Diceros bicornis minor: one gene and its partners. The protein of the gene in region 3 purifies or fractionates together with the protein of the main gene of each other region. This does not show direct contact. Links are inferred from orthologs where the notes say so. Each region holds a gene or a part of one and is shown on either strand. Other genes may lie near its edges. The genes, in order: WDR44, EVI5 and RAB11A.

Region 1 (9,950 bases), on a different chromosome or scaffold from region 3:
TTTTTCCCCCCAAAGCCCCAGTAGATAGTTGTGTGTCATAGCTGCACATCCTTCTAGCTGCTGTATGTGGGACGCCGCCTCAGCATGGCCAGAGAAGCAGTGCGTCGGTGCGAGCCCGGGATCCGAACCCGGGTCACCAGCAGTGGAGCGCGCTCACTTAACCACTAAGCCACGGGGCCGGCCCCACAAACCTCTTATAATTATTTTAATCAGTAACCAAAGACAATCACCATCAATCATTTGTGAACATTCTTCCAGAATTCTCTATGCTTATATACATATATAGATACATAGATAAATGATTTTACAGAAATGGGATTATTCCACATGCAGTATTTTGTAACATCTGTTTTCATTTAACACATCATGAGCTCTTGTCATGTCAATGAATATCGAAACTGAACCCTTAATAACTTATGGTGAGCACATTGTTCCTGTCTGCTACTAACACTTTCTTAGAAAAAAATATCCACTGCATACTCTACCTGGTCCTAGTGAAGGAGATAAGCACAGTAGTCTTTCCCCACATGGTGTGTGGCAGGGAATCAGCTGACCCAGGCCTGACAAATTAGAATTCTCTATGCCTTTAGCTAGAGGGATTTCCTAAGACCAATCAACATCGTTCTTGAGATTTAATATATGAACACTGGGAGAGAGAAAGTCTCACTTCCTTTGGGATTGAGAATTATTAAGACATTATAAACTGAAATTGCTTGCAGCCATCTTTGTTGACTAGAAGAGGAAGCTATCTGCAAGAGGAAGATTGAAGCCAAAGCACAAAAAGCAGCAGAGATAAGTAAAGATGAGAGATGGACAGGAAGATAGAGTATTGATGTATCTGGGACCCTGGATCCAGCCATGCCTGAAGCTACTTCATCTGGACCACAGTTGGTGCTGCTATAAGGGGACATACGCTTTCCTAAAAATCAATGCACTATGCAAAATTGTTCAATAAAAACCACAGGGTTTATGGGGAAAACGGGGCTAGGAGTACAACACTCAAAAACTTTGTCAGTGACACACACAAAAAGATATGAACCTAATAAAAATGGTAGCACAGTTTTACACATGTTAAATAGTTAAGAAATACATAAATACTACAATAAATATGGTGCTTTATTTTGAAAAAGACTTGAAGTTTGCTTATGGAAATAGGTATCAGAGAGGTTGCAGCTTGGGAGTTATTGTGAAGTGGTGGACGGAGGGTCAGCTGAAATCAGAGGAAAAGTAATACCAGAGGTAGATGGGTGTGGCTCAAAACACACACAAGGAAATGAGGTAGCTGGTAGATGTTTGGGGTATGTATGTGTGTATTTTGTGTATTCCTATGCGACTTGATTCAGCTGGGCGTAGTTTTCTGCTTTCACCTAATGTTTCTGGCTGATAAAATCACACATAAGCAAACGCAAAATTCACCTTATGCTCAAATTGTTCTCTAATATATTAATCACAAAGGAACAGACAAGTGTCATAGCAATCTGTATTTGATTATGCAAACAAATAAACTCCCTTTTTTTGTTTAAGATAATTCCAGTTAGCTTTCTTCCAGAGTTCTGAACAGTAATACATGGCTACATAATATTCCATTACACATTTTAAATCCCAGGCTGGCTTTTCTGTCTCTCTTAACACATTTCTAGACTATCTTTGTCTACTTTCAGTTCTTGTGTGCTCAGAGATTAATAATTCATTTTAATATTAACATAAACCATTATTAAGAAGGTAAGGTGGACTTGAAAAAGATATAAAGATTTCAAAGCCAAAGAGAAATGATTTTTTTGAATATTTACTATTATAACCTGTAACACAACTGACCTTTCAAACAGATAATTAAGGGTTGATGATTATAGAATTTTATCTTGGCTCGGAGAAATTTTGGCCAGTTTCAGAATGATTTTTTCATAGATTCTGATACTTCAAAATCCATAAAAACCCTCACAGAGATTGCAATATTAAATCTTTTCATGTCAATATTGTATCTTCAAATCACCTAACCTTGTAGATAAAAGTTTTTCCCTGAGTTATCACGTTAGCTCTTGTTTGTAACAAAAGCCTACATGCATTACACACGTTACAAATGATTACACTTGGGGTTGGAGCGAAATTGGCCCCAAGGATACTACCAGTTTGTATTATTCTCGCCAAGAGGAGAGAGCAAGCATCCCACAGACAAGTTGTTCCATACAGTGGCTGTAACCTCAAGCCTTTGGAATTCCTAAGGAGAGTTTATGCTACGCAGATAAGGAAGCATAAAAAGTTTCCCTAAACTTACCTTAGCCTTAGACCTGTGTAGTTTTTAAAATCATTGGGACTGAGCCAGGTGGAAAAAGGTTTTATCTTCATTTTCATCTATATGTATGATTTTGCTGCATTATATAATTCTGTTGTGAAACTGATTCAAGCAACCATTTAATTTGAGTATACTTTCAGTTCTGGGGTACCCTAGAAATAGCATCCTACGGACCAAGAGTCAGCAAAATTTTTCTGTAAAGAGCCTGATGGTAAATATTTTAGGCTTTGCAGACTGTAGAGTCTATGTCCCAACTACTCAACTCTGCCCTGAGAGCAGACATGTGCAATACATAAACGAATAAGCCTGGCTACGTTCCAATGAAACTTTATTTACGAAAACAGACGGCAGGACAGATTCATCCAACGTACCATAATTTGCCAACCCCTGCTTTGGACTAGTAGTTTTCAATTTTTTTTTTTTAAATGGAACCTTGGTGTAGTCTCTGGAGACTCAGGGAAGGCCAAACAGGCAGGGACCTGAACTATTCCTGCTTCAACTAGAGCAGTTTTTATTTTTACGATATGTGGACTTTTGCATGAAATTAGGTTTGATTAAAGGGTTCCATTTCTAATAAGGAGAAAAACTTCAAACTCACTGTCTTGGACTAAACCTAAAACCTGCTGCTTTAAAACTCAACAACAGATGTTACAGGCAAAACAAACACATCTTTTGACATCTTTAAAAATGATAGGTGGTACCCACATGTTTTGACATTCTCAGAAATTCACTTTCTCATACAATTGATAAAAGCATTTAAATAGACAACTTTAATAGCTCTAAAAATGTTTTCATCTTATCACTCCTATTCCATTTTGACTTTTTCTAAGTATAATGTTTAAGGTACCTTAAAAGGTCCAAGAGAGGTGGTATGGTATAGCGAAAAAAAGCATCCAACTAGGACTCCATATTTGTCTCCATTGCCAGATCGTGAGCTCCTTCCAGGAAGACAGGAACTAAGTTGTCGTCTTCATCTTTGAATTGTCCTCAGCACCTAGAACAGTACATTATACCAAACTTTAATTTTTAAGGCAAACATAAATTCATTATTAGATAACTAGGAAGAGAATAAATTCAGGTAGTTTGTTTACTTACATCTTTCCATAACATAAGGAAAAAAGCATATCTTTCCTAGTGAGCAACAAAATAACAGGTTAGTACTTTGAGATACATTTTTATGCCTAGAAAATTAACATGTTTAAAACACATAAAAGCTAATAATTACTAGATTGTGACAAAAGTCATATCCTCACAAAGATCCACAAATCTCTTGTCCACAGTTCTGAAATCCAAAAAGCTCTGGAAACTAAGAATTTTGGTTTGTTTAGCAATCTATTTGACAGTCAAATTGATCTAACTTAAACTTACTTGTCAGTAGTATCTGACCTGAACTGAATGAGGCTATTTACTGATATTTATTTACGCCGTATGAATAATCATACGGTTTGCTGCAAAAATAGTACCTTATTTGATTATGCCGTGTTTTCCCTGAACTCCCTCGGGTGTTACAGAATATACAGTATATGGCATTTGGTTTTACACAAGTCCACCAGACAACACCACATCTTTTCCTGGTTGCTTTACAAGGAGGAATCTAGAGCCCCATTCCAGCGTCTCTGAGGCCATGCCCCTGGTCCCAATCCTTCTTTTCCGCCGCCATTTCGAGCAATAGTTGAGGCTGCGCTAACAGCTCAGAGAGCCTGCCTGTCATGACGTCAGTGGGAAAAATAAATGTGCTTTGCGATCATATAGAAAATCAATGTTATCACTTTCATGCTCAATGACCCGTTATTTAAGAAAGAACATCTTGGTCTTTTAAAAAGTACCTTTCTATTTTCATCACTGGACTTCGGGCAGTCGAGGATCAGAATTAAGTTACTAGCTCTTAGCCTTGCAACGGTGTCTTCTCAATATACATTTACCATCTGACTGACGCACATCTTGGCCAGCATGTACGGATTTTTCTCACATTAAGCGTGGGCAACAGATATTTGCAGAGAAAAAGTAACCAGAGGCCCTATGCTGGCTCAGCTCCAGCAGCATATCCATTATTACTTCATGGAACTGGCATACTCCCACGTATCTCTCACCGACCCCACCCTCTGGCCGGCAGGACCGTATTTAGGGATCTCAATTAGAGATCTTGTTATAAATAGGGCGGTTTACTCTTGTAACGCTAGAGGTGGTAGACCTGCCTACGCCCTAGGGTGGGATATTCCGGGCTTTGATAAGTGAGGTCGACGTAAACGCAAAGCACAATGCCAACGTTTTTTCCGACAGCATTTTCTCGCAAGTAAAAAGCACACTCAAAATCACCCCTCTGAAAAAGCCTCTCTTTGGAAGCGCAGAGTTAGGCGGGTACGACGCTCTGCCGGACCCCACCAACATCAGCAGCCGCCCCTCGGCGCCCGGGCACCACGCCGCTCCTGCGCAGGTCCTAAACTCCTCCCTTCAGGAGGCTCATCCCCACACTTCTCGACTACTTCCGGCTCTCACCTAATGCCCTCAACGCGCTTGCGCCGTTTTGATAGGCTTCTCGAGTAGAAGAAATCGGAGCGCTGCCTCTCTGGGGCCGCCCCCGCCTCCTCTTCGCCCCGCCCACGCCCTACCGTCCCCTCTGGAAATCTCGCGAGGGTAGGTGCGCGTCCGTATTTTGCGGGCAACCAGCTCTCCCAGCTGCTGTAATTGCTGCTGCGGGAGAAATTGGAGCTGCTGTCGTCGGCGCGCCCGCCCTCCCCCACTGAGGAGAGCCACCGCCTCTTCTCTCGCTCTCCCTGTACACCTATCGCCGGGAGCGGCGGCAGCAACAGTCTTTGGACCCACCGCCGCCTCCTCAGGCGGCCGCTCTGCCGGTCATTCTCGCAGCCCGGCAGCCGACGGCGGCCCCCTGCCCCTAACCGGCTCCTCACTCCAGATCATCTGCTCCCTTCTCATCCTCGCCCGGCACCCACCTCCCCACGGTCTCGCTGGTGAGGAGGACGACGAGGAGGAGACCAGAGTCACCCTCTCTCCAGGCGACGCCGGCCCCCTCACCCGCGGGTGTGTCCTATAAATGGCGTCGGAAAGCGACACCGAGGAATTCTTTGATGCCCCTGAAGATGTGCACCTAGGGGGCGGCTACCCTGTAGGGTGAGTAACTGTAGCTATGGCCCAGAAGCCGGGCGTCCCGGTCCCCCGGCTACCCCCGTGCCTTCTCCCCACACCCCTCCCCGGTCCCGCTGTGTCCGCCGCCGCTGCTCCTCTCAGTCTCACTCGGGCACTTCAGAGGGAGTCGGGGGAGGGGGAGTCGCCCACCTCGGGCACATCCCCTCCTTTCCCTGGTGAACGGCCCCAGCGGCTCTCTCGGAGCCCCTTTCTCGTCTTGTCCAGCTTCTGCGAGGTGGGACAGCTTAGGTGCCTGAGAGCCGGCGATTTGTATTTGTGGGGTTCAGAGCTTACCTTTGAAACATCCGTTTTGGCCTTGGGGACCGTAGATTAAAGGAGCAGTAACAGGAGAAATTACATTTCGCATCTCTTTCTTTCTTTTGCCGCTGACTTACCTGTTCGTTTCAAAGGGAGCTGTAACTCTCCCTATTCGCCGTCCTCTTCGCTGCACAGAAAGAAGAGGAGCGGGAGAAAGGTTGCGTGTTTACTTGGGAAAGTCCTCTAGCTGATGTACCTCTAGATCAAAAGGGTTTTATTAAAATAGCACCTTACCGTGAGGCAAAGGAAATCGAAGACAAGGTCCTTTACCATTAGGAAGAACGCGGTCTTAAAAGGGTAGCCGGACATAAACGTACACAACCGACTACAGGGATACAAACAAGTGCTGAGTAATCTGGTGGTTGGAAGGAGAGCCACAGCTTTGTGCTCTTTATCTAATTCTGCAAGATGTTTTAGTGGTGATTAATCTGGGAGATTCTGAGTAGGAAGTCCAGTAGTTGGAGTGCTTCGCTTGACTGAGACTTCTGCTTACCCACTCCTCCACTTTTCAAAGTTGAAATAATGTTTAAAGCAATTTCACCGAACTCTTCTAGACTTGTGTGGAACTAGAGGCAGTGAAATATATTTTCATGCTATAAGAACTAGAGAAGTGGTAAAATTTGTATGTTAATGTAAGTCCCTAATATGGTTCCAGGAGTCAGCTGCCTTCAGTTTTCAAGCTTACCCGGTAGAAGAAATACCTTGTTTGATGTAAATAAAGTTATCTGTACTTTCTAGAAGTCGTTATAAAACCTAATATATATTATATATAATATATACCAAAAAAGTGGCAGCAACAAAGTCGAAAGAAATGTACTTTGGTAGATGGCTGATGTGTGTGTGTTTCCACCAACCTTCATGTCACCATTATGGGATTTTGAGTGACGCTGGCCAATCTTGAGATGGCACTGAATCTCCTTCAAGTTCAGTATCTGACACAAGTTCATAGCTAGATGGTAGAGGATAGAAAATACATTTGGATTTCCAAATACTTTGGAGTCCCTTGAAATTAAATTTTGTTTTTGTGGTTTTCCCCTCAAAGTAATCAACTGTCAGTTTAGGTTGAAATAAGGCCTAATCCTTTAGTACTTTGGTGTGTGTGTATGCGAAGGAGGGGAGGAAAATAGCAATGGATGTATATGATTTTAATCAATTTAGAACTATGTGAATATTGTTCCTTTTCAATGAATAAAGCAAATTTAATTTTTAAGGACAGTTATATCAGGACCTGTGTAAACTGCCTAGTCCATTACCTGGCACAGAGAAAGAACTCAAATGTTCATTCTCTTCTGACTTCTTTTCCTGCAAATTTAGCTTCACACAGTGCTTACTTTGGGAGGAAGTATGCAGAACTTGGAGCTATTTAACTTATCTAAACTGAATGAGTCATTTTGATAGAATTGATAGAGTCACTTCTTCTCTCACGGGACAATATAGCTTCTCAAGCACTTTGATCCTTTGATACTTGGTGAAAAGTAAAAATGTCTCTTGGGACCCAGCATTCTAATTTTAACTCTGACCTGCCCAAATATTGAGCATTTTGAGCTCTGTGGTTAAAACTGTTATGTCAGTCTGTGAATTTCATGGCTCTATCCTGTATTAGTGAGGGGATTTGGAAGAGAATTAGACTCATCTGGAGAACTGCATCTGAAAAGAACTAGCAGTACTGGGAGGACAGCAAAAGGTTGGCATCATTAACATTTTCTCTGTCCTTTGTGACAAGTTTTGTCATTTGCATAAGGTACTGTGAGGAGGCTTGGCTGGGTAACTAACAACCTAGAAATGCAATGAGAATTCTTGATTTGTGGAAACAGATGGTGTCACTAGATATCTGGTCATCAGAAATATCTTCTGTCCCTTGATATGAACTGGAGTAGTGGCATACCATACAAACTCTAAGATTAACAGACTGAGTTTGGGCACTTCAAGAAATGTTCCTTGCTATTGCATGTTCTAGAGTACACAGACCATTTCACCAAATTGTAGTAAGCTGAGTAGGCAGTTGCGAGTTATCTGGTGTGTTTTGTTAATTAGCAGAATCCACATACACAATCCCTTTCCTAAAATTGATTTCTTCTATTTCCACTCCACTGGTGTCTTCAGCTTTGTTATTCTACTCTTTGAAAGCAAATTTAATAAGTTAAAAATCAGCCCAGTTTTTTAATAGAAAGACTTTTGATTCCAATGCAGCCTACTTTTCCACAGTGGCAGATCATCTCCGCGTGCCCAGCTCTGCAATATACACCATATTTATAATGCTTTATTTTGATTGATATTTTAGGTCAGGTTTCCTTATTCTTATCTCTCTTTTTACGTATGAGAGACCTTAGACTCAAAGAAGTTAATGAACTGGCCTAGGAGACACAGCTTGTAAGCTACCGAGCTGGGATTTGAAACCAGTTCTTCAGACTCCTAGTCCAGTATTTTTTCCTAGTACATCATAGCTGCCCCAGACTGTGTGGGTGTGGGTGTGTGTGTGTAGAGGGTATTCCCCTCTAAGAGATTCTGGAGTAAAACGCTTTAGGACCAACTTGTTGAATTGAACTGATGCGTCTATTTAAAACCAGCAGCCCAAACTTTTCAGTTCTCTTGGCTAGAAATTCCCACTTTCTCTTTCAGGAATACGTATTTTGTTTGTCAGATAGGAATTTTATTAGATCATAGCGTGTTACAGCTAGAAGGGACATCTAGTTAAACTCCTTCATATAAAATGTGAAAACCATAGCCTGGAGAGGGAAAGTGACTTGTCCAAGGTGCCACGGCAAATTAATGTCAGAGTTAGGACTAGAATCCAGATCACTTTCACAGTCTGGTGTTCTTTTTGCTACCGTGCTGTCTTTTGATAAAGCAGGAAAGCAGGAGGAAGTGTGGTATAGTAGAAAAAAGCCTGGGCTATGAGTCATTTCATTTCCTCATCTTTAAATTGAGGAGATTACACTCTGAGAACCTTTCCAACTCTAAAAGTCTGTCCTTGTGTTGAGATTTAATAGTGTGCTTTTACTGAAAAGCTTTTGTTCTTGGGAAATCTTTCCATGATCTTTTTTTTTTTTAGTTTAACAAACTTGATTGTATTGGGTACATGATTCAAGACCCATAGATTTGAAATTAGATATTTACTGGGTAAATTATATATGAGATAAATACTCCTACTGGTTTGTGTGGATTATACATACACATACTAAAGGCTGGCACTGAGAACATGTTATAAAAATAAACGTGACATTTTGAGCATTCTTTATTTTAAAATTTTTTGTGTGGCAACCAAAATATTTTTGAGGCCTTGGAAGGAAAGATAGAATGGTAACGTTTTTAGAGTAGGAAGGGACCGGAGATTGTAGCCCAGCCCTCCCATTTAACTGAAAGAGAAACCTAGGCTCAGAGAGGGGAAGTGACATATTGCTGATTAGTGGCAGACTCGGAACTAGAACCCAAGTCTCCTGATTCCTCGTTTATAGTGTGCTGCCTTGTCTGTGGAAGGAGGGAAAGTATTGCCTGGCATCCTGCTCTAGGTTTCTGGCACTTACCCTGTTAGTGGGGCTCCTAAGATGGTCTCCTCCTATCAGCCGTGATTCTGTTTCTTCATGGAATGCTCTCAGAGGCCCTTGACTGTTCTAGGATCCTAACTTTTGCCCACAAATTTTCTCCCAAGTCAGGATGAAAAACAGTGGCAGAATAGCTGATCTAAGAACAGTGGTTGTTACTCGTTTTATTTTATTTTTAGGAGTCTAGTTAGTGTCAACCACAGTCTATCATTTTAGGTTGGAGTAATGGTGAAATCTTGATTTTTAAGTCATGACAACAGAGATCAAATTGTCCCGAAGAATTGTTCAGTCTGAAAAACAAAAAATTGCATGGCTGCCTTTGTTGCAGCTCAGCTTATCATTTTATTTAGGCATCAGAAACATTTCTCTCTGAATTGAAAATTGATATGTTTCAGTAAAAAAATTTCTTTTGCGATATGGGTTACTTTAGGAAAGATTTCTTAAAAATGGCTGTTCACGGGTTGGCATTTAATATAGATTACATTTAATCATGGATTGTATTTGATTGCTGTTGGCTTTGTTGATTGATAGAATATTTATAAATGCTGTTTTGTTACACCCATGTAACATCATATTGAAGTGGAGGAAAAACCTTCTACATATTAATTAGTAAACTCAAGTTCTATATTTAGTGGCTTCCAACTGTCAATTGCTGA
Region 2 (10,387 bases), on a different chromosome or scaffold from region 3:
AATTTCTCATTTTCAATATATGCTCCAGGAGATCAGGGATTTTGTCTATTTTGTTCACTATTGTATTCTCAGTACTTAACCTTGCCTGGCACGAAACAGGTGTAGGATAAATATTTGTTGAATGAATGAATGAATGAACATAGTGATGCCATCCTCAACGATTCTCCAAGTATTACATGTCACTATCTAAAATATAAGATGAAGCTGGTGTGGAGCAGAGCCACAGTCTCAACCTGCCATGGAAGGAAATGTAAGTGAAAAATAAATCTTTGTTGGTGTAAGCTGCCAAGATTTTGGGGCTTTTGTTACTGCAGCATAACCTAGGAAAAGCCCAATGATACAGGATATACAACGATACGCATATACAATGATATGCACATACAGAAGATAGCCCAATAGAAGAGATTCCAAAGAATTAGTTCAATAAGCATTGACTGAATACACCTGCACACTCTTCATTCCCTAACAGAAAGAATGGAATTCTTGTTCACTAAGACAAGCCTCAAATATCACTTACTTTGTGAAAACTTCCCTGACTACCCCACTATTATTTAGGACTCTTGATTGCACATGACAGAAACTTGACTCTAACTAGCTCCTCACCACCTCTCAACCTGCTCTACACCCCTCAGTCTTTCCTGTCTTAGTAAATGGCAACTCCATCCTTCTAGTTGATCAGCCCCCAAATCTGGAGTCATCTTTGATTTCTCTCTTTTATCACATGGCCAATCTGAAGACAAATCGTGTTGGCTGAAAATATATCCATATTTGATCACTTCTCACCACTTGCATTCCCCGCACTAGTCCAAATGGTCATCATCTCTCAACAACTTCTGACTGGTCTCCCCGTTTCCACCTTTCCCTAGAGTCAGTTCACTGCACAGCAGCCAATTGATGTTTTTAAACATAAAACATGAGTCAGATCATGTCACTCCGCTTATCCATCCCACTTAGAGTAAAAGCCAAAGTGCTAAAGATGGCCTGTAGGGTCTCCCACGTCATCTGGTTCTGTTTTTTCTCTAATTTCATATCCTAGATTTTCTATCTTGCTCACGCCATTCTAACCACACCATCAGCCTCTCAGCTGTTCCTTGGGTATACCAAGCACATTCCTGCCTTGAAGATGTGTACTTGCTTTTCTCTCTGCCTAGAATGCACTTTGCCAGATGGTTTACTCTCTCACCACCTTCTTTGTGAGGTCTTCCCTGCCTATTTAAAATTGTAATAACCCTTCTCCACTCCACCCTTTCTCCTTCCCTGTTTCAGTTTTCTCCACATACTTACACCATCTCATATACTATATATATACATATTTTGTTATTTGTGTGTTAAATTTATTATTGCAACTAAGTCAAATCAAGATTCTCTTTCTCCTCATTCTCTATTCTTCTCTTACAAGATGATCTAATATCCCAGGAGGCTTTCTTTTCTTTTTTTTTATTGTGGAAGAATATACATAACATGAAATTTACCATTTTAATCATTTTTAGGTGTATACTTCAGTGACATTGAGTACATTCACAATATTGTATAACCCTCACCCTATCTAGTTCCAAAACCATTTCATCACCCCAGACAAAAACTCTGTACCCATTTAGCAATAATTCCTTGTTTCCTCCTCCACTGAACCCTAGTAGCCTCTATTCTACTTTCTATCTCTGTGAATATGACTACTCTAGATACAAGTGGAATCATGCAATATTTGTTCTTTTATGTCTGGCTTATTTCACTTAGCATAATATTTTAAAGATTCATCACGTTGTAGCATGCATCAGAACTTTGTTCCTCTTTATGGCTGAATAATATTCAGTTATAAGGATATGCCATACTTTGTTTATCTATTAATTTGTTGATAGACACTTGGGTTGTTTCTCCTTTTGTCTATTGCAGATAGTGCTGCTATGAACATTGGTATATCTGTTTGAGTTCCTGTTTTGAATTCCTTTAAGTAGCTTGGAGTAGAATTGCAGGGTCATAGGGTAATTCTATTTTTAACTTTTTGCGGAACTGCCAACTGTTTTCCACGGGGGCTGTATCAGTTTACGTTCCCACCAGCAATGCACAAGAGTCCCAATTTCTCCACATCTTCACCAATATTTGTAATTTTCAACATTTGTTTTTTTTCACAATAAGCATCATAGTGGGTGTGAGGTGGTATTTCATTGTGGTTTGATTTGCATTTTCCTAATGACTAATAATATTGTTCGTCTTCTCACATGCTGTTGTATATCTTCTTTGGAGAAACGCCTATTCAAGTCCTTTGCCCATTTTTTAATTGGCTTATTTGTTTTTTTGTTGAGTTGTAGCAGTTCTTTATATAGTCTAGATATTAATCTTTTATCAGATGTATGATTTGAAAACATTTTCTCCTATTCCATGGATTATTTTTTAATACTTTTGATAGCATCCTTTGATGCATAAATATTTTTAACTTTGGTCAAGGTCAATTTATGTATTTTTTTCTTTTGTTGCCTGTGTTTTTGGTGTTGTATTGAAGAAATCACTGGCAAATCCAATGCCATAAAGATTTTACGCTAAATTTTATGAGTTTTATAGTTTCAGGGGCCAGCCCCTGGTGTAGCGGTTAAGTGCATGCTCTCTGTTGCTGGTGGCCCAGGTTCGGATCCCCGGCCCACACCGATGCACCGCTTGTCAGGCCATGCTGTGGTGGCGTCCCACATAAAGTGGAGGAAAATCTGCATGGATGTTAGCTCAGAGCCAGTCTTCCTCAGCAAAAAGAGGAGGATTGGCATGGATGTTAGCTCAGGGCTGATCTTCCTCACACACACAAAAAAAGAGTTTTATAGTTTCAGCTCTTAAGTTTAAGTCTTTGATTCATTTTGGATTAATTTTTGTATGTGGTGTAAGTTAAGGGTCCAACTGCATTCTTTTGCATGTGACTATTCAGTTTTCCTACTATATTTTTTACTTGCAGCACATATCTATTTATCGTCTGTTTTCTTCCACCAGAATTTAAGCTCCCTCAGGGCAGAGGTTTATGTCTGTTTTTGTCGCTGATATATTGTATTAATTATCTATTGCTATTGCTATTTACTGCTATTTGTGGTAAAAAAAAAATGACCCCCAAATTTAGTGCCTTATCAACAATAAACATTTATTACCTCTTACAGTTTCTATGTGTCAGGAATTTGGGAGCAGCTTGCTGACTGCTCCTGGCTTGGGGTTTCTCGTAGATTCAGTCAGAGGTAGGCCAGGACTGAAGTCATCTGAAGACTTTACTGGGGCTGAAGGTTCCACTTCCACACTGGCTTATTGACATGGCTGTCAAGTTCGTTCTAGAAGCTGATGGGAGGCCTTAGATTTTTTTCTTGGCAGAGCTGCTCACACACAGTGGCTGCCTTCCTCCAAAGCATCCAGTCTAAGAGAACAAGGTGAAAGCTACAGTGTCCTAATGACCCAGTCTCAGAGGTTATACTCTGTTGTCTTTGCCATATTTTATTGGTCACATAGACCAGCCCTTATTCAATGTGGGAGAGACTATACTAGGGCATGAAGAACAGGCATCAAGAATCACTGGGGGCCAGATTAGAGGATGGCTACCACATGTATCTATCCCTAGTGCTCAGAACGGTGCCTGGTAAAATAACCTGGTATAAGTATTATATTATATATAAGTTAGATATATATGTATATGTTCAAAAAATATTTGATGAGTGAATGAATCACTTGAAGGTTATTGGTGCAGTCAGAGCATTAAAGAAAGATCAGAACAGGGGCGGGCCCATGGCATAGCAGTTAATTGCACATGCTCCACTGCTGGCAGCCATGTTCGGATCCTGGGTGCGCACGATGCACTGCTTGTCAGGCCATGCTGTGGTGGCATCCCACATAAAGTGGAGGACGACTGGCACGGATGTTAGCTCAGGGCCAGTCTTCCTCAGCAAAAAGAGGATTGGCAACAGATGTTAGCTCAGGGATGATCTTCCTCACACACAAAAAAAGAAAGATCAGAACAACAGAGGCAGGGTCAGCCCCGTGGCTTAGCAGTTAAGTGCGCGCACTCCGCTACTGGCAGCCCAAGTTCGGATCCCGGGCGCACACCGATGCACTGCTTCTCCAGCCATGCTGAGGCCGCCTCCCACATACAGCAACTAGAAGGATGTGCAACTATGACATACAACTATCTACTGGGGCTTTGGGGAAAAAAAGGAGGAGGATTGGCAATAGATGTTAGCTCAGAGCCGGTCTTCCTCAGCAAAAAAGAGAAGGATTAGCGTGGATGTTAGCTCAGGGCTGATCTTCCTCAAAAAAAAAAAAAAGAACAACAGAGGCTTAGGAAAGGCAGGATTGGTTGGAATCAGGAATTCTAATATCTTCAGGATGGACTTCATCTCATTTTCACTTCTCTAAGTATCACCAGGTTCTCTGGGTTCTCATCTTTAGAGCTTCATAATGAGAGGTCAAAGGGCCTTTACTTTTTCAACTCTGGTTTGAAAAATAAGGGGCAGGACTCTCTCAGACCTACCCCCTTGACCCAGTAGTATTGTCAGGTCGTTAAGGTAATGTGATTAGCTTAGCTTGAGTCAGGTGTCTACATTTAATAACAGAAGATGGAAGAGGGTGTGGAGAGATAAAAATAGTACAACTCACTCAGCCAGGTTAGGTACTCCCCATTCTATATGTTCTCACCATATCATATCTCCATATAATAGAATGTATCGTTATTGTCCATTTATTTGTTCACATGTCTGTCCTCTACACCAGACTATACATTCTTACGGTAGAGCCTGAAAACAGGTACGACATTTTGCTAACTCCAAATAACATGGGCTTTGTAGTCAAGAGAGACTTAGGCATGTATTTTGCTTTTCCTACTATCGTTGTGACTTTGCACCAGCCATAGCTCCCCATCTTTTAAATGGAGGGCCTAATAATGGCTGGCTCATGTGGAAGCACGGAACGTTATTGCTGACATGTTGTAGAAGCTGAAAATGTTAGTTCTTGTCCTTCCTCTTGGGAAAGTGCCTGACACAATTGTATGCCCTTATGTTTGTGAATGAATGAATGAGTAAATAAATGAAGCATTCTCAGTGATTTGCTTGGAGTTCACTTGTAAATGAAGATAACAATAGGGTTATAGTGAAGATTAAGTAAGATGATAGATAAAAAGTACTTCGATAGCCCAGATCATGGTAAGTACTCTAAAAAATAAGCTATCATCATTAGAGAGGCAATCATTTAAAAGTAACATATTACATCAGATATTTTTCAAGAGAATGGAGGAAGCGGCTTTTTCTCTATTCAGATCTCTCTCTCAAGGTACATCTCTTGCTTCTGTATTTCATAGTAAACTCTCAATTAATGGCCCTGAGTAACAAAATTGCAATATCCATTAACAGAACACAATAGCGTGCAGGATTCCAAAACCTCAGCTAAAGAGTAAAAAAATAACCAAAAAGGTAAGTCTTACCAAATTAATAATTGTGTCTAGTGTCAAATCCCAAGAGCTGAAACCACCTAATATACAGAAGCTTCTAGCCAATGCCTCAGAGTCAGCACCTCAAACACAATAACAGTTAATATACAGTTGTCATTCTGAGACAAATTGAGTCATTGAAGGAAGGAAGGAAACAGGAAGAAAGGAAGGGAGGGAGGGAGAGGGGGAGAAAGGAAGAAAAAGTGTAAGAAAAACTAAAACAATTAGCCGTCACAAGACCAAAAAGCTTTAGTTACTGCATTCCTAGTCCTCCACATTCCCAGCTTTCCCTAAGGGTACCAACTCACAACTGTATAGGATGGAACTGAAAGGGTGTTTAATGGGTGGATCCCAGTGGCAATGTCGTTGTAAACACTCCCTATGAGTCAGCTATAAATTCAATTCAAATCCCCAGTATCCCTGTCTTCTCTGCTTATCATGGTTACCATCAAAATGACTGCTGCCTTTAGAAACCCTAATGGGAAACAGGTAAATGTCTAAAACAATGTTTGATTTTATATTAAAACTTATAAAAACGTAATTGCTGCAACAGGAAATATTTTGTCATTGAGTTGGGATTTGTATACTTTGCTTAATCTTCAAAATAGAAACAGCTTGTTAACATTTCTTCAGTTTTATTTTAAGAATGTTATCTCATTGTATTGTGGCCATTCAAGTGATGAACGAGAATTTACGAAGTGTTAGGTTTAATTCCACACCTGTAAGAAAGCCATTTTAGTAACTGGCTTTTTGTAATTCAACACTGTTTCTCTCCTTGCTGTAATTGGCTGCTGGTTATCTCTTTTGAATGTACATTCTCAGAGGAGAGCTGGTGTGTCTGTATGGGCTTTAAACTTCTCACGTGGAGAAAAGATTAGCTGAGGAAAATGACTGGTTATCATAGTACTATTTGTTCACAAATTCTATTTGGTGGCGATGTTGATGGTTGCGTGGCCTCTCAGAGATAACTTCAGCAGTGGTTTTTCCCAGTCGTGTTTAGAAGCACAGTTCCTAATACAAGCTAAATTAATTTTACTGTAAAGCAACACCTTCCTAACATAGTTTCCTCATCTTTTTATGGTGGAGGTGGGGGGCAGGGTGCTAATTAACATTAGCTAAAGTTTGTACTTGACTTCACTGTTATTAGACCATTTTCACATGAAACAACACATCTTTCAACACATCTATCATTGGTGACTCTTATCTTTATTTGCCTGATGAAGAAGCTGAAGTTTACAGAGGTTCAAGGCTAGACAACTAGCAGGTGGTAGAGCCAGGATTTTTCTAATTCAGCACCTTTTTTGGTCTATCTTTTAATTTTGCACGTTGGTGCTTTGTGGCTTTGGATATTAACAATTACAATAGGTACCACTGTTGAATGCTTATTATGTGCCTTGCGTATATTATTTCATTTAATTGTGACTTCAGTGCTTAGGTAGATATTATTATTATTATCTCCAGCTCATGGATGAGAAGATTGGGGCTCAAAGAAAATAAGCATACTATTGGCAAGTACACCTGAAATTTTAGGCTATAATCTAGTCACCTGCATTAATATAGAGATTACTAATTCCCAGATAATTGGAAAGTTTAAGTGGAATTACTACTCTAGTTGTACCAAATTTTACTTTGCTTTAAAACAGATATTTCAGGAAGTTAAGAAAAGAATGGACTTCTCCTTTTGGTGGGTGGGGTAGAAATTGGCACTCTATTGATGTCTCATTTTGGTGGTGCAGTTTCAAAAGCTGTTGTTGGGTTGATGGTGTGAATGTCTAATATCACATATAGAAATGATGTCCCAACTCTAGAGCCAGAGAGCTGGTTCTTTACCACGACCATGCCAGATCTAGTCTCGACCTGTGCACAAGTGCCAAGAGATGGCAATAAAATTGTGTGTCTCTTAACAATGTTCTTTCCTAAGATAATGTGTCTTGCAAAGAATGGAATGTGGTGGAGGTGAAGTGGTTATAAGAAGAAAGCCGTTCTTACAACCTTGATAAATAGAGAGGCCACAGCTTTTGTGCTTGAGTGCCTTTTGGATTCGTGTTGTGGAAAGCAAATGAGCCAAATGAAATAGGCTTTCACTACTTCATTGTGAGCTTTCATTGTGAGTGTGAGGTGTTGTTCACCAGTGGGTTTGACTCCACTGGTGAGCTCCTCCTCTGTACCCTGGTATTTTTTCCTCTCAGGGAATGCCTCCCTGGCTTTTCCTTTCTATGAGCAATGAGGCTCACATGGCTGTCTTATAAAACACCTCAGGCAGTTGAGAGCATGGTGTTCTGAGATTTAACTGTTGCCAGGTTTAGACGGGATGAAATTCAGACCCTCCTTTTGTTCCCCTCCCGGACAGCGACACAAATCAATGCTAAGCGTGTGCAGCATTAGAACATAGAAAACTTCGAATTGCTATCTGAATTTACCTCAAATTAAACTGACCCTGAGGAGGGGCCACTGCCCACCGCACCATGCTTCCTTTATCTCCCACTCTAGTTTCAGACTCCAGAGTGTGAAGAGCAGAGTGGCAGACGCTGGAGCAGAGGTGGTGTTGGTGTGGAATTCACACAGTGGAATTTCACTTACGCAAGTGCGCAAGCACTTGTGAGAGGTTAGAATTAGCTACTTCTCTGGTTAGATTTAGCTATTTCAGTGAAAAGTTAAAGTGTAAGCTTTTTCATCAGATAAATTGATATGCTTAGGGTGAGTGAAGGAAAGGGGTCAAGCAGGGATAGTGCTGGAGGGTCAGAGCTAATGGTACAAGCCTCTCTCCTCAGGCCTGGGATCTCATTTGAGATAATACATCTCAGGCGCTTAGCACAGCAGTAGTGATTATTTATATTATATATATATATATAAATAATATATTTATATATAAAATACATATATAAATAATATATTTATATATAAAATACATATATAAATATATATGTATATAATTTGTACTAATAAAATCACTCTTTATCATTCGTTCAAAATACATTGAATAGCTACTATGCAAAGTGCTGGGGCTATTGAGAAGCCTAAAACAAAATATGATTACAATCATCGCGAAGCTCTTGATCTAGTAGGTAAATAATATGCATAAGCCAAAAATTTACAATTTTAGAGAAGTACTATAAGGCCTAGAGTTTAACCACTTCTGGCATTAGGCTGACTGGGTTCAAAGCCGTGCTCCACTATTTTCCAACTGTATAAATAGGGGCAAGTTACTTGGTATTTACTAAGTCTCAGTTTTCTCATAAGCAAGGGGGTTATGATAATAATACCTACTTGAGGGCCAGCCCCGTGGCGTATTGGTTAAGTGTGTGCACTCTGCTGCTCGTGGCCCGGGTTCGGATCCCGGGTGCACACCAACGCACCGCTTGTCAGGCCATGCTATGGCGGCGTCCCACATAAAGTGGAGGAAGATGGGCAGATGTTAGCTCAGGGCCAGTCTTCCTCCATAAAAAGAGGAGGATTGGCATGGATGTTAGCTCAGTGCTGAGCTTGCTCACACACACAAAAATAATAATAATACCTACTTCACGAGGTGAGTATGAGGATTACAAGAAATAGTGTATGTACAGCTCTTAGCCAATACCTGAACACAGTGAGTGCTCAACCATGTGTTAACTTATTTTCAAAATAATAATGCTGTCACTATTTTTTAAAATTTATTTTTATATATTTTTAGGTAAAATTTACATTAATTGAAATGTTAACTATATATATATTTTTATAATTTATTTATTTATTTATTTTTCCCCCCAAAGCCCCAGTAGATAGTTGTATGTCATAGCTGCACATCCTTCTAGTTGCTGTATGTGGGACGCAGCCTCAGCATGGCCGGAGAAGCGGTGCGTCGGGGCGCGCCCCTGGTCGAACCGGGCTGCCAGCAGCGGAGCGCGTGCACTTAACTGCTAAGCCACAGGGCCGGCCCTTAACTATATATTTTTTGATGAAATGAAGACATCTCTGTAACTCACACCCCTATCAAGATAGAGACCATTGTTATTACTCAGAAACTTCTCTCATGTACCTTCCCAGTCAATCCTCTGCCAGAGGCCACTACTTATGATTTTTTTCACCACAGATTAGTTTTGCCTTATCTAGAATTTCAAATAAATAGAATCACACAGTATGCACTCTTTTGTCATTTATTTATTTTCAAATACGTAATACATTCACAGGGTTTGAAATTGAAAAGGTACAAAAGGGCAGGCAGTCAAAAGTCTCTTTCCTTGTCCTCCAGTCACTCAATCTTCCTTCCTTGAAGCAACCAATGTTATTAGTTTCATGTGGACCCATCCCATAGCTATCATTATTAACTTTGGGGTTTATACAAGGTGCTTTGAGAATTCAGTTTTAAAGGTTACCCAAAGATTCTTGTGAGAACCCAGCTAAAACAATATAAAATCAGTTTTAAAATAACGGAGTTCTTTTTAGACGCTTATTCCAAATGTCACATCGTGACATTTTACCTTTCTACGACTTAGGTAACCTTTAAGCCACATCTAGTTCAAGTTCTAGCATTCTATGATTCTCATTCATTAACTAAACAAATATGTATTGAACAAATACGGAAATATAACCATGAACCAAACAAAACCAAACTTCTGGCCTTAGGAATCTAATAGTCTACTGCAAACAAAAATTCACCAAAATAATACAATTACAGTTTCAGTGCGATGTGATAGGTGGGGACGGAGGTAGGGAGGTCAGAAGGTTCTTCTCAGAGGTAGAGACTAGAGCTGAAGTCAGAAGGAGGAGGGTTGGAAGAGCTTTCCAGGCGCAGAGCAAAGCATATGCAAAAGCTCTGCGGAGGCAGGAAGATTTGAGGGATTGGAAGAGAACAGTGAGGCTGGAGCAAAGAGAACAGGAGAGAACGTGGTCTGAGCAGTGAGAGAATGTGGAGAGGTGGGCAAGGCGCCTGACGCTGCAGGGCTTGGTTACTTAAGGGGTTTAAGAGAATGG
Region 3 (10,337 bases):
TACCTAAATAAATATATTTTTTTACCATTTCTTTCTTTGACTCATTGGTACTCTAGTGACTTATAATCAGATAATCAAAGCTGAGAATTTCCTGATCTTGTGTACAATTTGTTACCTTACAGTATACTCAGTAGAAAAGATAAAAAGCAAAGAAAACAAATTTCACCACTTCATAAGTTCTGTTTACTTTTCTTTCTCAAAAAATTCTTTTCATTGTGAAATAAACCTAATATCATTACAAAAAAATGCATGAAACTGATATGTAGAGTTAACAAATAGTTATAAAGTGAATGACACTGTAAACATCCTTTTGGGTCAAGAAACAGAATGCTGAGGTCTGTTTACTTAACAAATAGGAACCACATATGGAAGTATTTTGTGTTGGGCTCTGCTTTACGGGATACTGAAGGGAGGTATGTCTGTCCTGGGCATTCTTTCTGAGGCCTAGGGAGTATATTCAGTCTTTCAAAAACGAGGTAGGATGGAGAGGTGATGTTCATGGGTATCCTACCCTTTTCCCGTCATAAGCCCTGGCCTGGCCTCTGGCTAACCCTTACTATTAACTCACGGTTCTCAACCTTGGCACTATTGATACTTTGGACCAGATAATTCTTTGTTGTGGGGGAGCTGTCCTGTGTATTGTAGGATGTTTAGCAGCATCCCTGGTCTCTACCCACTAGATGCCAGTAGCACCTTCCAGTTGTACACTAAAAAGGTCTCCAGACATTATCAAATTCCCTGGGGGAAAAGCTGACCCCTATTGAGACCCAATGCATTAACTGAACATTTACTATGTGCCAGGTATGATGCCAAGAGCTGCAAATATATTATTTCAGTCTTCACGTTTATCCCCATTTTGCAGATAAGGAACTGAGCTTCAGCAGGATTAGGTAAATTATGAAGATACAGCAAGTGAATGGCTGAGCTAGAGTTAAACACAGACCTATCAGTCTCCACGCTGTTTTAAACAACCATGTAAAGTTGCCTCCCAGGCTGTAGAGGATGGGATATATTCCAGATCTTGCTTCTTCTACATATTCTAAGGCTAAGACATTTCTAAATCTAAATTCCCAGGCTTTTTGCTGGATATTTCCTTTTGGTTTTCCTACTAACTGTTTAAATTAGACATGCCTGAAACTCAAGTCAACATTTTTGCTCTTTTTTTGCTTTTTCTCCTCACCTCCATTTTTCTAGTGATCTTTCTTCCAAATAGATATTAAACCTCAGATCTCTCTGATTCCTTTTGTATCTTCATAGGCAGAATCTCATATTTTTGTACATTCTGTCCAAATTCTATATTTCATTTCTGAAAAAAGTATTTTTAATGATTAGTAATGAAACCCAAACAAAACCCCAATATGAATCTTTTGGAACTTAAGAAGTTTACTCTAAGGTTCATCTGAAATAGAGTCCCTAAAAATAGTCAAAGTTTAGAAAGAAAAAACAGTGAGAGGGAATTGCCGTATTTATTTTTATTTATCAAAGGCAAATGGTTCCTACTATGTGTCAGGCACTATTCTAAGCACTATACAAATATTTACTCATTTAGTACCACATATGAGACATCAAAATGGACTACAAAGCTATAATAAGCAAAACAGTGTGACACTGGCATAGGAATAAAAAACTTGACCAATGGGACTGTATCAGAGTCAAGTCCTCTGGAAACAGATACCAGATGAATTGGAAGTGTAAGAGATTCATTTAGCAGGAATGCCTGTGATGGACAAAAGGGAGAAGTAGGGCCTTCAGACCACAAAGCAGGTCTAATAGCTATGCAAGGAGAGAGGAAAGGAAGGATTGGGTAGGAAGAGCGTCAGACTGTAATTGCATTCTGAGGAAATTTCGGCCAGGCCAGTGGAGAGCTCAAGAGCAAAGACTGCCTATTAGAAGAGCCCCAATCTGTACAGAAGTGGTCCAGCTCTAGAACCCCCACTGCACTCAGTCGTTGTCTGGGAACATTCCGGAGGGAGCATGGCTTCAGTGTGAACATTGTAGTGGATCTTGGAGGTGTGGTAGCTGGACACTGTCAGCCAACCACACAATAGGCACAATAGGCTCTCTCTTCAAAGGACATCTGAGCAGTGTTCCTCTGTCGTTGCCAGAGGTATGGTGCAAAGATTCAAGAACAGACTCGTTTATATATGTGAGATTCATTTATAAAAATTTAGGCATTTCAAATCAGTGGGAAAAAGATGGACTATTCAAGTACATATTGAAACAATTGGTTATCCATTTGGAAAGAATTAATTTAGATCCCTATTTCACAGCATCCTCAATATAAATAAAATCCAGATGGAGAAAAAAATTATAAAAATATTTTTTAAAAAAACATTTTTTGAATCATCTTAGTGTGGAGAAGCCTTCTTACCCAAAATGCAACAGCCAGAAGCCATAGAAGAAATGACTGAGAGGGATTTGAGTAAATAAAAATTTAAAACTTCTGTATGGACAAAAGCATCATTAATAAAATTAAAAATCAAGTGATTTACTTAGAGAAAATATTTGTGCCATATATAACAGGCAAAAGATTAAAAGGTAGAATATATAGAGATCCTCCCCATTAATAGGAAAAGATAAACAACCCAACAAGAAAACGGACAAGGATGTTGACAGGCAATTCACAGAAGAAATATAAACAGCCAATAAACATAGGAGAAAATGTTTACACTCACTGGTTATCAGAGAAGTGGAAATTATTAGGCACACCAGACGGGCAAAAATTAAATATATTGCTAGTATATTTTTATACTAGTATATAAAATATTGCAGAGTAGCTGGGAAAATGAATATTCAGCTTGTCCAGCCTCTAATGGGGAAATGGGCAAGGAAGAAACAGCTTAGGAATAGGTTTTAATTTAGCAACCCTCAGTATCTGCCAGGTCCATGGGTAAGGGAATGGGAATGCTTGTACAAACTATGGTACATCATTGTTAAGGAAAACTATGCAACAAATGAGTTAAACCTGTATGGACTGATGTGGAAAGATTTTTCAAGGTGAGAAATGGTACATATAACGTGATTTTATTAAAAGAAAACGGAGCAGTTATCTCTGGGGTTGGAGGAGGAATTGAAGTGGAGACTTTAAGGATTTACTCTATATTTCTGCATTAAAGTAATTTACATTAAGTACCTATATTTCTTGAGAGATTAAAAAGAGATATATCAAGGAATTACTACTCATTTTCCCCAAAGAATGTAAAACCCTAATTCTCTTCTTTGTCCGTGGAATCCATTTACCATTTTTTCCACAATAGCCTTTGCTTTTTCTTTCTTCTTTAGTCCCTTAGCTATACCCCATTTCTATTAGTTTGTGCCCGGTTAATTGCAATAGCCTTCTAACTGATATCCACACCTCCAGTCTCTTCACCCGAGTCCTGCAGTCCACAGCCAGCTTAATTTTCCTAAGACAAGGTTTACTTCAATCACTTCTCCACAGATCTTTTATGGCTTCCCCAAAGTGTTTAGAGGGGTGCTAACAGGTGTTCCTTGGGAAAAGAGTTCTGGGGTCTGGTGAATCTGGGAAATGCTGTGTTCTACACAGTTAAAAAAAGATTTCTTCAGAGTGGAATATCTAGACTTTAAAATGCCAGTGTGCTAAGGGAACCTCTAAGGTGGGGAGACAGTGTGTAGTTCTTCTCAATTTATTTGACCATGCAATCCTTTGGAGGAACACTACTGACCTTCTCAGGACACACGTTGAGAAACAATGACTTAAGGGGAAAAGTTATAATTATTCTTCCGGCATTAATGGCCTTGCTCAACATGTTCTTATCATCTAATTTCCTCCACTTCCGAAAATGAGTTTCCTTCCTTGCTTCTTCCTTCAGGGGTCAATGCTAGTTCCTCCTCCGGGGAGTTCTTCATAACTATCTCAGTCTCTGAACTGTGGCACTTATCACCAGAACTCTCATTAGTTACTCCTTCAGAACTGTCTAGTTATTGACAGTCCCCTTTTCTTGGGCCCATCTTGTCTACCCACCTGAGCAGTGCCAGGACTGTGTTTTATACATAATCTGTAGTACACATAATATTTAGCTGCGTGAGTAATATTGTGCATCTCCCCCAACGTGGATAATGCTCACCCCTGCACAAGGCAGTATTTAGACCTTAGATAAACCTTCTATTGCTTTATACTGTGAGAAAAAGCCCTGAAAATGGCACTGTATTAGTTTTCTATTGCTGCTGTAACAAATAACTATAAACTTGGTGACTTAAAACAACAAAATTTATTATTTTATAGTTCAGTAGGTCATAAGTCTGACATGGGTTTCACTGGGCTAAAATCAAGGTGTCAGCAGAGCTCTCTTTCTTCTGGGGGCCTTAGGGAAGAATCCATTTCCTTGCCTTTTTGTTTTTTTGTGAGGAAGATCAGCCCTGAGCTAACATCCACGCCAATCCTCCTCTTTTTGCTGAGGAATACTGGCCCTGAGCTAACATCTATTGCCAATCCTCCTCTTTTTTTTCCCCCTTTTCTCCCCAAAGCCCCAGTAGATAGTTGTACGTCATAGTTGCACATCCCTCTAGTTGCTGTATGTGGGACACCGCCTCAGCATGGCCCGACAAGCAGTGCGTCGGTGTGCCCAGGGGCCGCCAGTAGCAGAGCACACGCACTTAACCGTTAAGCCACGGGGCCGGCCCCTACTTGCCTTTTCCATCTTCTAGAAGCCTCTGCATGCCTAGGCTCCTGGCCTCCTTCCTCCATCTTCAAAGCCACAAGGGCTGATTGAAGCCCTCTCACACCACTTGACTCTGACCTCCTCTGCCTCCCTTTCCCACTTTTAAGGACCCTTGTGACAACATTAGGCCCACCTGGAGAATCCAGGATAATCTCCCTATTTTAAAGTCAGTTGATTTGCAACCTTAATTCCATCTGCAAACTTAATTCCCCTTCGCCATGTAACCTAACACATTCACAGTTCCTAGGGATTTGGAAGTGGACATCTTTGAGGAGCCATTATTCTGATTACTACAGGCACCCTTACCCAAAAGCCTGAATTGTGGGTTTGCATATTGGTGGTAGGGGGTGTGACAATAAATGGGAAAAGCTTTTTGGAATGACAAAACTCTCTTCAAAGACAGGGATGCCCTGCTGCGTGATCTCTGGCAAATCACTTGAGTCTCAGTATCTACATTTTTGCTAAAATGGAAATTGCCATCCTTTGCTCTGCGTGTTAAATGAAATAATTATGTAAACGCGTTTGGCTTAGAGGATGACAAATAGGGCTCAAGAAGTTCTTGAATCTTGATGAGGAGGAGGGTGGGCGAAGTTCTCTAAATGACATCTGGAAATAGTTTGAGAGATTTCCGGAGAAAAGGAGTGAGTGAAAAGCGCCTGCCCTGGAGTAAAGTCGGAGGTTGAAAATTCTAGCAAAATAAATCCAGTTTCATGAAGCTTTTGAATTAAGTTTGAGGCAGAGGGCCCAGGTTAAAAAAACGGCAAAGTGAAGAGGCTCCTTAGGAGCCATCAGGTGACATAGTACAGAATCGAAGGGGGTAATCTGTCAGCTCTTCGCAGGCAAAAATTATATTTGTGAAATTCCCTCCCTATTTAGTTCAAGGCCATCTATACTGTAGCTGTACAACAATCACTAAGTGAACAAATGAATTTATAGTGTGGTCAGGAAAAAAAGCGAACAGCGCAGGTTCCACCGAGATTTGAACTCGGATCGCTGGATTCAGAGTCCAGAGTGCTAACCATTACACCATGGAACCGCTACGCAAAGACACCCGCCTTCGGCTCCCTAATCCTTTATGAACCCCGCCCCCATCCACAAACCCACCACACCGCGGTAGAGCCGAAGCGCTCCCCAGCGCCCCGCTTCCCGGCGTGGCGGAGCGGGGAATGAGGAAGAGGCCGCTAAGAGTGCGGTCAGCTAGGAGTCCAGGGTTTAGTTTCCCCCATGAGCCTCCTTGAGGGGGTGAGAATTTGAAGATCGACGCGATGCTTCCGCCCACCGCCCTTCCTGGGCTCAGGGGCGGGGCGCCACCTCCCCGGAAGTACTTCTCCTAAGGGGTTGGGGCCTGCCGGAAGTGGCGTAGCGGCAGGGAGGGGTTCTTTACCCGGTCCGGCAGCTGAAGCTCGGCGCTCGGGTGGCCCCTGCAGCGACGCCCCCTGGTCCCACCGATACCACTGCTGCTCCCACCCCTTCCCTCTTCGGCCGCGCCATGGGCACCCGCGACGACGAGTACGACTACCTCTTCAAAGGTGAGGCCACAGGCTCGCCCACTCTCCACCCAGTCCCCTTTCGGGGGCCCGGGACACTCCCGGGGGACCCGCGTGCGGGCCACCCCTGCTCTGAAATCGGCCTTCCTCAGTCCTTCCTCTCCCTGCGGTTTGTCCTTAGGTCTCTCGGCTCAGCCCCCTTTCCTCCTCTCGGACAGGGGTCCTCACCACACACCGGTCTCTTCGCGACTTCCCCGCAGGCCTTCTGTAGCCTCAGGGCCCCTCACCGAGTGTCCTTCTGCCAAATCGTCTTCTTCCTTTCCCGGTTTCTGTCGTCCCTTTGGAGGGGCCGCCCCTCCCACCGTCTGTCTTTTCGGGTCTGCTGCCCCTCCCCCTCGGTATACACCCTTCCTAGCTGCTCCCCTCCCCGAGCCCCTCTGACAGGCCCTTCCCTCCGCTCCCCAGCTTTCCCTCGGCGCAGACTCCCACTTCAGGTCTTTTTCTTATCCGCCGCCCTTTCCCCTCGAGCGAGCCTCTGCTCTGCCTGTCTTCACAGCCCCTCTTCTCCGACGGACGCGCCTGCTAGCCGTAGTCTTCCGTCGCGGGGCCGGGCCCGGGTTAAAATCTGAGCGGGCCAGAGGCCCCCACCCGCCCCACCGTACTCGCGGTCAGTAACCTTCTCGCACTGCCCCCGGGGTTGGTAGCTCTTTCCCCTCTACCTTCCCTCCCCACATGGTTTAGAGCTCCGCACGTCTCCTGTGCGACCCCGAGGGTGGGGGGTAGGGTTGGAGGGATTGGCCATCACCCACCCGCGCACTTGTCGCAGTGACCCGGCCTACTGATGTGACTTCCCACCTAGTCTTTTTTCTCCCACCCTCCCCACCCAGCGGTAGCCAGCCCGGGATAACTCTTGACTCTGCTCGCGAGAAGGGGTTGCGGATGGGTGGTGGCTGTTATCCTTGCCAGACCTGAAGGCCCAGTTCCTGAGCAGGAAAGGTTGTGCGCTGCACAAATACTAGCCTGCTTTATCACTATGGACTGGTTGCTTCCTGCTGCAACACTGGGAGGATCCAACCTTTTGGTGTTTTTAGAACGGGAAAGGAAGAGTCCTAGTTAGCCTTATGCCTTTCCCAAAAGGTGGGGGTCAGGGGGGAAGTTTTATGCTCTTTGGTCAAATTAAATATTTATTATAAAGTAGGGAAACATGTAGTGCCCTTGGACAAAACATATTGGAGGATGGGGGGTGAATAGAAAGAATTGCTTGTAGGTTAGGTCCGGAAAGAATCCAAATAGTTTTTTTTTTTTTAATCAACAAAGATAAAGAGTACAGTAAATGCTTTTTTTGTTCTGTGAATGCGCTCTCACTCTGATGCTCTTTCTCTATTCCTGAATTAGGAGGGCAGCCATCAGTAGTATGCTGAACAAAGATCATTACCAGGGAGGAAGAAGCCATTGCTATTGAAGCTTTACATTGGAGGGTGGAGTTTAAAAAGAGTGTTAAGCATGGTGATTGTTTCTGACTTTGCCATTGGGTCATAAGAATGATTGACTAAACAAAGCAGGACACATATCTTTGCTTTACCAGTACTTTGCAAATCTTAGCTGAAGATATACCCTTATCACCACTTACTGCTCTGGGCTAGAATATTCTCTTATACAAGGTGAGTATCTTCAATATCCACCCCCACCTCCCATAGTGAAAAGTTCTTTACAGAGGAGGGGGTACTTAATGCATTTTACAGATACAAAAAGGAAACATGGCTTACTTTGCATACTGTTTGCTGAAGGCCTCTGAGGTCAGGTGAAATTACTTAGTGAGACCCTGGAGACTAGGGTTTAGTCATTAAAGGGAGATTTTTTTTTTTTTTTAAATAAGGTACGGTGGCAAGTGACAGCTAGCTATCTTTGAAGTAATTTAGAACACGATAGACTATCAGAGTATTTCTCCTGTTTGGTTTGGAACTTGAATGTTGGTTATAGAAGCCATTTATTTTTTTCACTAAGATTATTAATTGTCCTGGATTGATTTAAGGAATTTTAATTTATCTTTGGGATTAGACCATCCTAACTAATTGAGAGTACAGGGCTTTGGAATCACAGAGGCCTGGATTCAAATCCTGACTCAGGTCTTAAATTTGCTTTGTAACCTTGGGAAAGTTAACTTTTTAAACTTCAGTTCCCTATCTATAAAAAGGAAATAATACCTACCTCTCCAGACTGTTGTGAGGGGTAAATGAGACTGGCTGTAAAATTTTAGCTTCTGTGAGGACTCAATAAATGGTAATAATATGAAAGAGATTATTCTGGTTCTTGTCAGTTTTTTTTACCTTAAATCTTGATAAATGTAAGAACATTTAAGTGTTAGTAAAGAAACTTAGAACTAGGAACTTCTGAAGTATTTTATATTTCCATGAGTTATGGTTTCATCTTGTTGTACATTTTGCAGTTTAAGATAGGGTGTTTAAAAAATTCTGCTGAGGAGGATTTCCACTTTTTTAAAGCTCTTACAGGATATGAGTCACTTTGTTTTTTACTCAGTGCTGATTATTTAGCCAATTTCTTATTTATACAGTTCTCATAATTTAAAGCGAAGCAACAATAATTTCATTTTCAAATGGTTTCATTCTACAGAGATTTATTCACCAAGATGAGCTGGAGCTCTCTTGGAAGAAGGCTTACCTAGCAAACTTAATAGTTGAGGGAATTGGAAGTTAGTTTGTAACTCTAACTAGTTGCAAATGAAAAGATATTTTGATTAGTATAGGATGGAGTAGTCCAAGCAGGAATGTAATGTGGGGAGAGCAGGACAATTATTCTAAATTATGTTTTTGTTCTTGAACATTAATCTTTAGTTAAGCTCAACAGTGAGTAACTTCTGGTCGGGAGGAGTTAATTTTATTTTTTAAAACCTGACTTTTTATTTTAAAAACTTTAATTCTCGGGGCCGGCCCGGTGGCGCAAGCGGTTAAGTGCGCGCGCTCCGCTGCGGCGGCCCGGGGTTCGCTGGTTCGGATCCCGGGCGCGCACCGAAGTACTGCTTGGTAAGCCATGCTGTGGTGGCGTCCCATATAAAGTGGAGGAAGATAGGCACCGATGTTAGCCCAGGGCCGTCTTCCTCAGCAAAAAAAGAGGAGGATTGGCGGATGTTAGCTCAGGGCTGATCTCCTCACAAAAAAAAAAAAAAAAAAAACTTTAATTCTACAGGTATTTACGCACAATGTGGTTAAGGCCCTGTGGGACACATAAGTGAAGTAAGCACCAATTATAGTTCGTATTTACAGATATTGTGGTAGACACCAATCAGACACCAATCAGAATCACATTTTCTGAAAATATCTGGATACATAATCTACACCATTTTCTTTTCAGTCTCCTTGAAGGTCAGTAGTAATTAACCATCAGCTGATTGTCAGTGGAAACAATGGTAGGAACTTTGCTGTATTGCATCTTGGTAGTTTTTCTTTCACAACTTTTGGTTGAGCAACTTACATTCTGCTGAATCTGGAAAAACTTGACTTCAGCCGTATTGAATGCATTTTATTTTAAAGACTCTTGGTGGTGGTGTACAATGCCTATAGTTAGGAGTAGAAACATCTCCAAGTTTATTTATAAAAACGGGTATGTAAATTATCAGTTATTCCTTCAGGTGATAACTTTTAGGTCTGATGTACTATGATTGATTTGTTGAATTAAATTTTAGTCCATGCATTAGTTTGCAAGAGAGTGTAAAAAACTAAATGTGGTTGAAGAGGTGGAAATTTTTATTAAATAATGCTTAATTAATATGTATATTCTGTTTTTACGGCATTTAGTAGCCTAATATTTGATATATAATGAACCAAATTTAGTATTAGGTATTAGAGATGATAACGTAAGATTCAGCAGATGAAGTTTACCAAGTGGTAATAAATATCAGATTACTTTAGAAAGGCAGTAGATGTTTCATATATAGATGCTGTTATTTAATTTATACCCACACACACATATATATAATATAGATGGCTGTAGTTATAAAATGTTTAAAATAGAAGATAGTAGTTATGGAAAACATGGAAAAGTCACTGCAAATTCCTTTCTTGAACTGTAGGATGTGATTATATAGTTTGTCACATTTTTAAAAAGCAATTAAATATTGTTATTTTAGTGAGAGAAGCTATTTTGATTGGAAATT

The links.
Region 1: the proteins of RAB11A (region 3) and WDR44 purify together in Homo sapiens (affinity purification with mass spectrometry; 3 studies listed by BioGRID and IntAct, counting the BioPlex papers as one, with this or other methods). This does not show direct contact. The link is inferred for Diceros bicornis minor from reciprocal best matches to the Homo sapiens genes RAB11A and WDR44.
Region 2: the proteins of RAB11A (region 3) and EVI5 purify together in Homo sapiens (co-immunoprecipitation; 3 studies listed by BioGRID and IntAct, with this or other methods). This does not show direct contact. The link is inferred for Diceros bicornis minor from reciprocal best matches to the Homo sapiens genes RAB11A and EVI5.

Annotation. Positions count from the first base shown.
Region 1 is NC_080781.1:109,106,642-109,116,591, forward strand, and holds the start of WDR44 (WD repeat-containing protein 44), read left to right. Parts: upstream 1-4,953; 5' UTR 4,954-5,342; coding exon 5,343-5,419; intron 5,420-9,950. UniProt on the Homo sapiens protein: Downstream effector for Rab11 which regulates Rab11 intracellular membrane trafficking functions such as endocytic recycling, intracellular ciliogenesis and protein export.
Region 2 is NC_080743.1:28,962,906-28,973,292, reverse strand, and holds the start of EVI5 (ecotropic viral integration site 5 protein homolog), read left to right. Parts: upstream 1-5,907; 5' UTR 5,908-5,926; intron 5,927-10,387. UniProt on the Homo sapiens protein: Functions as a regulator of cell cycle progression by stabilizing the FBXO5 protein and promoting cyclin-A accumulation during interphase. May play a role in cytokinesis.
Region 3 is NC_080744.1:60,101,313-60,111,649, forward strand, and holds the start of RAB11A (ras-related protein Rab-11A), read left to right. Parts: upstream 1-6,046; 5' UTR 6,047-6,168; coding exon 6,169-6,208; intron 6,209-6,722; coding exon 6,723-6,833; intron 6,834-10,337. UniProt on the Homo sapiens protein: The small GTPases Rab are key regulators of intracellular membrane trafficking, from the formation of transport vesicles to their fusion with membranes.